Linked DNA regions of Drosophila melanogaster. The gene in region 1 interacts genetically with each later gene. Each region holds a gene or a part of one and is shown in the gene's direction. Other genes may lie near its edges.

The links.
Region 2: of wap (region 1) and mnb, changing one suppresses a phenotype caused by changing the other (phenotypic suppression), as found in Drosophila melanogaster (one study listed by BioGRID).

What each region holds. Positions count from the first base shown.
Region 1 is NC_004354.4:22,450,865-22,457,566, reverse strand, and holds wap (wings apart), read left to right. Parts: upstream 1-2,144; 5' UTR 2,145-2,293; exon of another isoform or gene 2,294-2,507; 5' UTR 2,508-2,905; intron 2,906-2,980; 5' UTR 2,981-2,982; coding exon 2,983-3,173; intron 3,174-3,376; coding exon 3,377-3,836; intron 3,837-3,894; coding exon 3,895-4,076; intron 4,077-4,138; coding exon 4,139-4,337; 3' UTR 4,338-6,122; downstream 6,123-6,702. Other genes in the region: tilB (touch insensitive larva B), read right to left, coding at 6,140-6,257, 6,319-6,531.
Region 2 is NC_004354.4:17,871,894-17,876,939, reverse strand, and holds the start of mnb (minibrain), read left to right. Parts: upstream 1-1,899; 5' UTR 1,900-2,060; coding exon 2,061-2,535; intron 2,536-3,539; coding exon 3,540-3,685; intron 3,686-4,186; coding exon 4,187-4,321; intron 4,322-5,046. UniProt on the Drosophila melanogaster protein: Role in the specific control of proper proliferation of optic lobe neuronal progeny.

The sequences.
Region 1 (6,702 bases):
TGTCCATGTACCCACCTGCGTCACGTTATTTACATTATCATCGCATTATATCCCTAGGATTAGGTTAGTTTTAAACTTAATGGCTGCATATGTGCTACATCTAAGACCCGTTCTTGTTGCTGCTAAAGTTGTAGGCGAAACTGAAAAGAATGGAATTTTAGAAGGCCCTATTTATCAAATTAATTCGAATTCAAAACCTCATACTAATCGGACCATAATATTCTAACTTCTTTATCAAAAATATACCCAAAAGATTGGAAAATGCCCAGTGTAAATGATCTAATGAGGGAACATCTTTTAATCAAAACCACATTTTTATGACGGTACTTTTAGTAGTGCAAACAATTCTAAATTGTCAAGACCTTGTCCGTTTACATTTGATTCACTTATTGGAGAAATGAAGGCTTGCAGGCGCAAGGTTATCTTGAATTCTGCATAAGATAATGCGAAACCCTTCAAGCGGAACTCCTCGTCTTTCTTCCCCTTCCCACGATTGATTTTTCACAAGCGCAAAAAACACCCACGCACATCTCGGGAATTTGTGGCCTTCGATTTGTCCCTGATGAACAGTTAGGCGGAGAGTGGAAAACCGATCGACACTTGTTTACAATCGCAAAATAGTAATAAATAGAGAAAAGCCGTTTTCAAGTTTGCCATAACAACAACTTCAGTGTGACGCTGGCTGGCTGAACTGGGTAGGGGCGGTGTGGGACGCGGACGGCTGTCCTTATGCGGTAACACTTAAAATGAAGTTACGTTCGTGTGTGTGCCGCCAGGCTGTCTACGCTCCCATTCGAGAAAACCGTTGCTTTTACATACATACATGCACAAGTGTAAGGCTCTGCGGGTGGTGTAGTGCAGGGGGATGGGAGAAGCGGGTGGTAGGCCTTAACTAACATAAGATGGCCACACTTTCACGAATCGATCTTTCGTTCATAAAATGCTACAACTACACTACAGCCCATTCACACACATTCACTTAAAAAAATTGAATTATCCAAGCTCACACAATCGCACGCGAGTACCCACAGGTGTAGCTGAACTTTTTCAACGGTTACCACGATTAGCCGCTTTCTTTAGACACAAAACTCATACATTCTTTGCACGTCAAAATCGAAATAATTGTGATAAAAGCAAAAACAATATATAAAACGAAACGAAATGAGATTCTATTTTTAAAAGGTGCACTCACACACGCGCGTACGTTTGGCAGTGAAATGTGTGAGGGAGAGGGGGCGAGCCAGGGTAGTAGTAAAACAGTGCCGAGATTGTGCGCGCGAGCGATGTAGCACTATTGGCTACACGGTCACACACACACACACAGGCGCCAGGCAGCGTACGAATTACGCAAAGTGAAATATCTTTCTCAAAATGGAAAGTGGAAAAGTGACGACGACGGCTATTAGGAATTTTTCATACATCCACGGAACACAAAAAATGTACAAAGGCAAATGCGTATATAAAGTGTATAAATTCATACTAAGATAGAAAACAAATGGGCGAGGGGATGGGTGGCGAAGGTGAAAATTTGACCGCAAAACGAACATCACGAGGCGAACGAGGTCGCGCTGCCGAAAGTCCCGTCTCTTAATGATATCCCACAAATTTTAACGCCAGCCAAGCGACATCATCGTTTTGCACCGCAAAAGGGCCTTTTTCCGGTCGAATTAAAGCAATTTTTTTTTGCACAACACAGAACTCACTTTTTAATCCTATTTTTTTTGCTAGTGTGGCCGCACGCCGAAACGAAGTCACCGTCACTAGATTTTGAAGATAGGTTAACTGTTCTTCGATAACTATCGAAGAACTATGCCTGATGCATGTATGGTTGGTGTACTTGCTAACAGATGAGCAGAGGCCTTCTTAATGTTCCATTTACACAGAATTCCATCATATGGGATTTGAAAAATATGCTTCAAACTTAATAGTTTTTGCACAAAACGCCAATCGAATTATATTTCCAGTTCCAGGGAAAAGATTTCTGGGTGGAAATAAACACACAACTTTCAATTCTTAATTAGACTAAAGTCAAGCCTAGAATATTATATATTACAGTTCAATATAATTTAATACAGAATTTTGTTTTAAATAAATAGTATTTTGTTTATCTGGTATATAACAATGATTTTGCACAAGGTATTTCTTATAGCTATCTGCGCGGTCACACTGTTTTTGTGTGAAAATTCTGTCGAAAAGAATGTATTAAAAGTTCTTTGAATACTAATTCCGTGTAATTCCGACCGTGCTGTTTCAGAAAACTGTGGTTGGATTGGAAACTTAACCAAATTATAAGGTAAAACCGGGGCAGCTTGCCCATCGAAGGACCGCCACAAACGAATTTTCGCGTCGCATTACGTTTTAGTGTTGCCACCTTATACGGAGTGCCGGGCACAATTCCACTTGCTGGCCAAACGGATGCGTTGCGGTCGCGATGTGCACGCCGTTGAATTAATTCCTTCGCCCTGTTGATTGAGTACAGTTCGACTTCTCCGATCGGTGTCCTCCAGACCTAAATTTCGCCGGAATAACGACGGCAAACGGACGGACGGACTCTAGTCGGAAAACGGGCGAGCTGGCAATACTGCCAGTGCACAAAATGATGTGAATCTCGGAAAAGAGGAAAGCTACAGGAAAAGCCAAGGAAAAGCAAGCCGGTAAAGTGTGCAAATGCGAGTGGCAAGCAAAGACCTTTGTTTCCCATTCCATGAAGTTTTCTTGAGTTGTCCGCTGCTGTGAGTGGTCATTATCAGCCATCATCATCATTGTCGTCATCATCACCAAAGGAGCTCGTCGTCATTAGGCCGGCCACCAGCTAAACGGCATTGAGAAAACTCAGCAGCACCTTGTCATCCAAGTCTTGATCTTCGTCTTGGTCTGGATATCCGTATCCAATCACACAGTTCAGGTGGGTTCTTGATCCAGACTCCGAATTCGAATACGAGTCCTAGATTCTCATGCTGATCCTTTTCCATATCTACAGTTATGTCCTCGACCGCCGGAAAGCGCAAGGAGATCTACAAATATCTCGCGCCATGGCCACTGTACTCCATGAACTGGAGTGTAAGGCCGGACAAGCGATTCCGGCTCGCACTGGGCAGCTTCATCGAGGAGTACAACAACAAGGTACAGATCATCAGCCTGGACGAGGACACCAGCGAATTTAGTGCTAAGAGGTATACCGAATATTTGTTTAGCTGATCCCTTCTACTTTCTGTTTTCATTTTATATTTCGTATATTATCTTTAAAAAATAATATAAAATGATAAGCAGTTTTGATATTATTGTAATCATTTTAAATATGAATAGTTATTTGGTTATACGAACCATTTTTCCGAAATCCCCTTCCTCACTGACAGATTATTTCTTCTTCAAATAGCACCTTTGATCATCCATATCCGACAACCAAGATCATGTGGATCCCGGACTCCAAGGGTGTCTATCCGGATCTGTTGGCCACCAGTGGCGACTACTTGCGGGTGTGGCGTGCCGGGGAACCGGACACGCGGCTCGAGTGCGTACTGAATAACAACAAGAACAGCGACTTTTGCGCTCCCCTCACTTCGTTTGATTGGAACGAGGTGGATCCCAATCTGGTGGGAACCTCATCGATAGACACAACCTGCACTATCTGGGGACTGGAGACCGGACAGCCGCACGCTCGCGTCTATGTGGCAGGACACGTGAAGACGCAATTGATTGCCCATGACAAGGAAGTATACGACATTGCTTTTTCGCGGGCCGGCGGCGGTCGGGACATGTTTGCCTCGGTGGGAGCGGACGGGTCGGTGCGCATGTTTGATCTGCGGCACTTGGAGCACTCGACCATTATATATGAGGTAAGTAGAACGCGCGAAAACACAAAAACGGATGACTACATAACGATAAATCCAATAGGATCCTGCTCATACGGCGCTGCTGCGCTTGGCCTGGAACAAACAGGACCCGAACTACTTAGCCACCGTTGCCATGGACTCGTGCGAAGTAATAATTTTAGATGTTCGTGTTCCTTGTACACCCGTTGCAAGACTGAGCAATCACAGAGCGTGCGTCAACGGTATTGCGTGGGCGCCGCATAGGTGAGACTATAAGATTCCTTAAACCTAAAATGTGCCTAAACAATTTGTATTTTGGTTTGCAGTTCCTGTCACATCTGCACTGCCGGTGATGATCACCAAGCACTGATCTGGGATATACAACAAATGCCACGTGCAATCGAGGATCCAATTTTAGCCTATACAGCTGCCGAGGGCGAAGTCAATCAGATTCAGTGGGGTGCCACACAGCCCGACTGGATAGCCATTTGCTATAACAAAGCGTGCGAGATCCTGCGGGTCTAAGTAATTTTTTTTGGTCTGGTCCTTGCTGAAGCACCTGACTGCAATTGCTGAACAACGCACAGTCAACAAAGAAGCAAGTCAGAAAAACACACAACACCCACAAATAAACATACATTTGCTGTTGGTAACTTGGAAGCGGAAAGCAGTGAGCTTAAGTTGGATTAGTTCTGTCAACACGCGTCCGCAGTTTGTTTAATTTTACTGTCTGTCGAGAGAGAGAAAATGTGAAAGTGACGGATATAGAGGCAGAGAAATGGAAAGAGAAAGGGCTTAAAAGAAAGATATGAGTTTGAGGGAAAGAGAAGAGGACGAAGCACTTATTCTAGAATTCTTAGCTGAGTTGATCTAACAAGTATGTAATTATATAAGGTATAACCAAAATATGTTTTATAATTGTAGTTTATTTCACACTTGACAAATCCCGACACTCACACCCCCGAAAACTCCAATCAATTAGAGCCGCTTAATCTTTTTTATTTCGTTTTTATACGAACCCAAATGGAATGCAGAAGAAAAAGAAATCATATTTATTATAACACAATGTCCTACCTCGTTTTTTCAAACATGAATGCTGTTAATCGAGTTTTCGAGTCTGGTCAAAACAGCAACAACCACAAAAATACACAGAGAACAAAAAATGAGAGGTAAAAAAGTAGCCGGCAACAACGCTTTTTCGAAATATTTTTACTTTGTTCGATTTTTGTAACAGATCCAAAAAACGGAAAAACGACAAAAACAAGAGATAAAGAAAAACAAAAGCAAAACCATGGACTTAAGCAATTGCAAAACAAACATAATATGAAATGAATTAAAGAAATAAGCGAAATACTTACATAGATTAAAGATTAAAAACCAAACCAGGAAACTGATGACGAACTGCACACAACACAGCTAGAATACAATACTATTTAAAGATACAAACTAAAAGATAAAACAAATACCGAAATATATGAGCGAGAGAGAATACAAGATTGTTGCTATATCCATTTAACAAACGAGCGAAAATAAGCAAACAAACTATGATCATTTCAGATAAGACACGACCCTCCATCAATAATCTCAAATCTTAACCACATCCCATACTTTCCACAGGACAAAGCGACTTTTTCAGATAAAATCGAATACATTTTTTTTATGTATCTTGTAATTTATAGCAATTTCACAACTTATATATAAATATGTATACAGAAAGCGATAGCAGTAATAATAATCCCGATGATCGTGTATTGTAAATACAGCATGAAAGGCATATTTTAAACGAAAACCAACTTAGGCCCTGATTTTGTATAGCCATTTAAGAGGCCACTTCACGGGAATTTATATCCTCATATCCGAATACTTTTTCGTTTGCTGCAGAAGAGTAAGAAACTGAAATCAAGTCTATGGAATTTGGAATTGGATATATTTTATACGCTCGTAGCCACTAGGCGAAGACATTTTCATTAATTTGGCAAACCACGGTTTCCGTAAAAAAAATAATCGAAAAAAAACCAAGTTAGAATATAATTTTTAATTTAATCTTTATTTTCGTGTGCCCTGTTTTGCATTATCCGACTTACGTTACATTTATATATGAAATGTATATGTACACAAACACACACACACACACACACACACACTCAAGCGCATATATATATGAGCATCCGATCGGGCTAAAGTATTTACTAGAAAGCTAATGATTGATCGATGGAATGGATGGATCACAAAAACCAAACAAAACAAAAGATCACTGAGGAGTTTGAGAAAACAAACCAAATCAGACAAATATTTAAATAAACCATTTTTAAATAATGAACACAGTCTCAAATTAAATCGGGAAGATCTTCGGGTGCACAAATGTTGCTGATGTCCACTACTCCTCCGTGAAACGCTTCCTCCGGTTTCCCATCTTTTTTTCCTGCATCAAAAGGGGCGGCAGGGCTACATGAAAAGGTAGCTAGGATTTGTGGTTCATGATATACAATGAACTGGATGAACTTACCTTTTAGTCGGGCTTTTCTTGGCTATCAGCAGCTCGTTAACTTTTAGCTTCTTAAGATTGACCACAAGGTGACCTGTAATCTGGGAACGCTGCACAGTGGACTCATCCGGCTTGACCTCCTCGCTGTACGCGATCTGGAAGATCTTTTTTTTGACGGTGACTCTAGTGTATGTGGTCTGCACATCGACGTCAATTAGAGAGGTATCCAGGTGTCTGGGCGAAGGAATATACATATGCAATATTAATTAAGAATTTTGAAGTGTATGTATATGATTGGGGCGTAGAAACGATCAAGCAATACCAATATCGATATACATATGTAATATGTTGGTGATAACTTGTAAGATATGTATAAGTTTGGTTAAGACATCTTAGCCTAGCTTA
Region 2 (5,046 bases), 4.6 Mb from region 1:
CGATAATAATAATTAGTATCAGGATCAGGTGCTATTTTAAATAATGGCCAGATTTCGAACAGCTAATTTGGGCTGCCTTTCCCCACCATTTCCACCGCTTTTCCTGCTCAGGCGAGGAATGCAACAATGTCACTGCATTCATTCAGTAAATAATATGTCCAACTGTTTGCTTATCACTCAACCGTCACCGTCTGTATTTGTTCCAATCCGCACTGTTTTGAAAAACCCGTAAGTCTATGCGGGACTTCCCCATTATTTGCCAAATATGTCGAGACTTTAGTATCCGATTAGCTGGCGCCGCCATCTGTTCATAAAGTTGTCAAGTGGTGGGTAATAGTAGTATTACAGTCGCAGTCACGTCACGATGTGAGTCACCTGCTCCGGATGCAATTATCGATGGTGTGTGATTGTTGGTAGTGGCCCTATCCCCCCCCCCCCCCTCATTCCTCGCCCAAAATGCAAGTGGCCAAAAAGGTGGCGGGGAGCGAACGCAAAATGTCGTCAACTATTTTTATTTTCGGCCGAGAGACGCGACAGACAAACAACGAACATGAGAACTTTGGGGCAAAGATCCCACATTGCGAACGGAGGATCGGATCGGATCGGATCGGATGGGATCCCTATAAATAGAGGGACTGGTGGCTATGCTCCTGCGAATCTTTCGAGGGGCCCCGAACGCATTAATTATTCAACTCTTCCATCGATTGGCAAGCGTTCAATTTGTTTATTATAAAAGCAAAATATTTTTTAATTGCTTTGGCGAAATGGAAAACACAAATTAGCTTGGCGTGTAGACAGACATTTACATAACTCGAAAGAACACAAGTTTATAATTATTTCAAAATCGTTTGGCATTACTGGGCATTTTAGTTTCGAAAACGATTTCCTATTTTTATGGCCCACTCTGCCAAGTGGCAGCTCAACCAGTTATACAGTTTTGTAACGCACTGCATTATGTACACACACTTTTTGCCTGGGGTTAATTACATTTTATTTTAATTTCACATTTCGTTTGCTTTGTTTTGATTTCCTTGACTTGCCGACGACGCAAAAGCCGAAACAAAGAAATGCATACTTACATATGTATGTATGTATGTATGTATGTATATTTGTATCTTTGCGCGCACGAGACAAGTGCGAGCACTTTCCCACCCACAACCACCCAGCGTTCCCCCATTTACCCCACATGCATTCGCTACATGTCACTACGCTACATGTCATTATTGAAATGCCATTATCAACGAAAAGCGGAACTCCCTCTGTCAAAAAAAACACTTGTGATAGAAAACAAAAGGCCAGCCAGAAGTGAGCTTTTCACCAACAATAATGGGGGAGAATACCTAAGAAAACCGATTTATTCGTTTGTGGTTAATCACAAGCAAGTGCAAGTAACTCTGTGATCAATATGGAGATACTGAAAGGTATTTACCCAACACTGTTTCAATCAGTTGAGCTTCTTCAACACCAGAGATGTGCACTCCGAAACAAAGGTCGAAAGGTATGGATTTGACCAAGAGATATCACCAAGAGATTTTTCTATTTCCCATTTACTCAAATGCAATTGTGCAACACTGAACGAGTCTAGTGTAGTGTTAATATAGCGAATTCCGATGCCAGATAGCCGGGCATTCCCTACTTTAGCTTCATGATCATTACCACGCCGAGATCGTGATGATCGTTGCTGCAATCTCGCTATCGGCGCTCGGCTTCGTTCGTGTGTTCCGCATAAGTGCAGCAAAAAAGTGCAAAAACACCAAGTGAAATAAAAGAGCAGGGAGAAAACACGGTTCCGTATAAATAAAACAGACGACAACAACAACAACAACGACGAGTGGCAAACTTTGGGGACAGAACTGGGGGAACAAAAACCGAGGCAGTTTGCGCTGAATTTTCACACGAAACAGACCGCGCTTCATACAGCCAGATCCAAATGGATCTTAAATTACTTAAATAAACTATATAAAAATAAACGAAATAAGCATATCATTTTGATTGAAAAAAGGAAGCGGTTAGTGCAAAGTGCGTTCGCGATTCCGATTGCGATTCCGATTGCCAGTGATATGTCGACGGCCCTGGTTTATTGGCAGTCAATGAATGGCGGCGATCCGGTTGACAAGGCCACCGCGGATTGGGCGCCATTCGTGGTTGGTGCAGCAGCTGGTGGCAGCTTCAGTAGCAGCATCATCACCAGCAGCAGCAGCAGCTTGAACCACCATCCGCACAACGGCCACCACAATCACCATCATCCGCCTCATTACATCAATTATTTGGCGCAAATTGGCTGCCAGCATCGTGTCAGAAATTGGCCAACAAATGGCAATCAGGATCAGGCGGATGACGACGACGCTGGCCATCAGATCATCTCTAAATTCCTGCCCAAAAGTGCCTGGGACACGGTGCTGTTGGATGTGAAGCGGGATGTAGATGAAGATGGAGATAGAGATAGAGATCGGGTCGATGGCAATGTGCTGATGGTTCAGGGATCGTCATCATCATCATCGAGAATGAAGGCGGAACGGGCACTCTATTATACTAGTAAGCCCATTGGATGAAACAGAGAAGTTGGCCTAGAAAAATTTGTTGCATGTCAGTTTAACTGACCGACAACTTTTTTTTTTGCGTTTGCACAATTAGTCAACGAATAGAAAGGAAAAGTATCTTTGCTCTCGCCACATGTTTTTTTGGAAATTAGAAATGGAGTGTTGGAATATCAAATGTCGCGGATTATCATCGAAAACACAGCTGCTGCCACTTACAGGTTTTACCCTGTTGCTTGATTTTTTCATTCTTGTTTATAACGTTGGGTCTATTTTTGTTGCACAAGCCATCAGCGAACGAAGAGCGAAGAGCAACAAAACAAAAAGAGTGAGCATGTGAAATGGTCATAGGAACGTGGGGAAATAGAATCTACAAACGGCAGAATTATGTATCTGCGCCTGCATATTGTGTAATAATTTCAGTTCAGTTCCGTCTGGTTCTAAAATTAAGGTAGAGCTTCTTTTTTACTTACCTCTGCTGGCCTGCCAATGCACAGGAAAAAAATATTGCTAGCAAAAGTAGATTCTTCGGAAAGGAAGAGAAATGTTCCAATTCGTTTTTTTTTATATGGCAGCATCATGTGCTTACTATCTTTAACTCACTAGTATGACCACCAATTCAACAACTAATTTTAGAACGAATTTTGCATCTTGAGTTAAAAAAAGAATGCATGACTCTGGGCTGGCTCTATATCAGATCTTAAATGGGAATTGGCAGTGTTTTTCCTGCGGTGTGTGTCCACACTTTTCGCCCTACCCTTTGCTTTTATTATCGTTTTGGCAACTCTTGACGCTGACGTAGTCAGGTGTGCAAGAAAACAGGTGCATTTTGCAGAGGAGCGGTGTCCGAGCGATCCGGTCAATGAACCAGCACAGAACGGCGCACAACGAAGGCGGCAAGCAAATACATCGCAATAATTATATATACACACATATATATTTGTATAATTCCCGCCGATATCTGATAGTATCTCTGATCTCTTCCTTTCTCTTACGCTCTAGTGTCCGCTTATGGGTCCAGCGGCGGCAGCGTCGACGCAGCGCAGGGCAGCGGAAGCGGGGGCGGAAGACAGCGCCACGCCCCACTCTACGGGCGATTCGTCGACGCAGAGGATCTGCCTGCCACGCACCGGGATGTCATGCACCATGTGAGTATTATCAACTAGCATTATCCTTATCTTCAATCCAAAACATGCATTTACACACAAAGGACATGCAGAAGTTGTGTTTCTTTCTTTTAGAAATTGTAGAACATTTTTTGTTTAGAAAAAATCCACAAATATTTCAACGGAGCCGTGTAAAAGATAACTTTACTTCGTTGAATATGAACTTACTTTTTCCCATGCTCTACTTAAATTAAAACATGCAATTAGAAAGGTTTATGGCGCATTTGAGAAAGCCGCGCCCTCGGAAGAACAAAGAATGGTATTTTTCAGGACTGGTTTTGCCTTTCTCAATGCGGCCATTAAGACTGCGTATTTATGTTAATAACGAAGCTTAGCAAGTACATTAATAATGTTGTTTTAAGAAATTAAAGAGATTGTGTTCAAAATAAAAATGATTTGATCTGAGCACGATCTGAGCCAAAGCTAGCTGGGCATCACTTTATTGAACAGTTTGAGTAATACGTTCTCCATCTCATTCCACAGCACTCTAGTCCCTCGTCTTCGTCGGAGGTGCGCGCCATGCAGGCCCGGATTCCCAACCACTTTCGGGAGCCCGCCTCGGGACCTTTGCGCAAGCTGAGTGTCGATCTGATAAAGACCTACAAGCACATCAACGAGGTGAGTGTGGCCCATAACTGGCGTTTAATCTGGTTAATCTACAAGCAAAACATATGAGAACCAATTGATAATTGGATATTTGATCATAAAATCCTATGTTTATCGTGGCAATATTGAGTTTGGATCATGTTTACCAGGTTCTCTTGTCGTTACAATGCACATAACTTTTCTGTTTTCATTTGCATTAGTAAATAGTGATTCTATTGATATTTTAGCTTGGCAAGATTCCATATCATTTCAAAAAGTATATTCTATCTAGTTTATGTAACTGTCTACCTTATCAATTACCATTGCGATGATGTTGTTCTTGTAGTCTGCAAAACTACGAAGGAACCTTGGCATCCATCCATCCCGATTTCTTTCTTCTTTTTTTTTTATTTACGCTTATATGTCGATCGGAATTTCGTCGGGGGCTTTTCTCGTCTTGTGGCTTTCTTTTTTCGGCTGTCTGACTATCTGCTGACAGCGGATATTTGTGGCGTTGAGCTGGGCTAAAGATACGTTTGTCCTTGACCCGTTCGTGGGGTCAATTCCCCCAACAGCGTCACCGTTCCCCCGCAGCCAGCCATTTGCAGTTGGCTTCGATTGACGTCGTCTGCCGCCTCGGTTGACAACAGCCGAAAAAAAATAAATAAATAAAAGGAGCATAAATGCTACACGCAACTGTCTCGGTTCTCCTGCCAAGTTCCCAAATTTCTCAACGAGAACGTCCCCCGAATAACTAA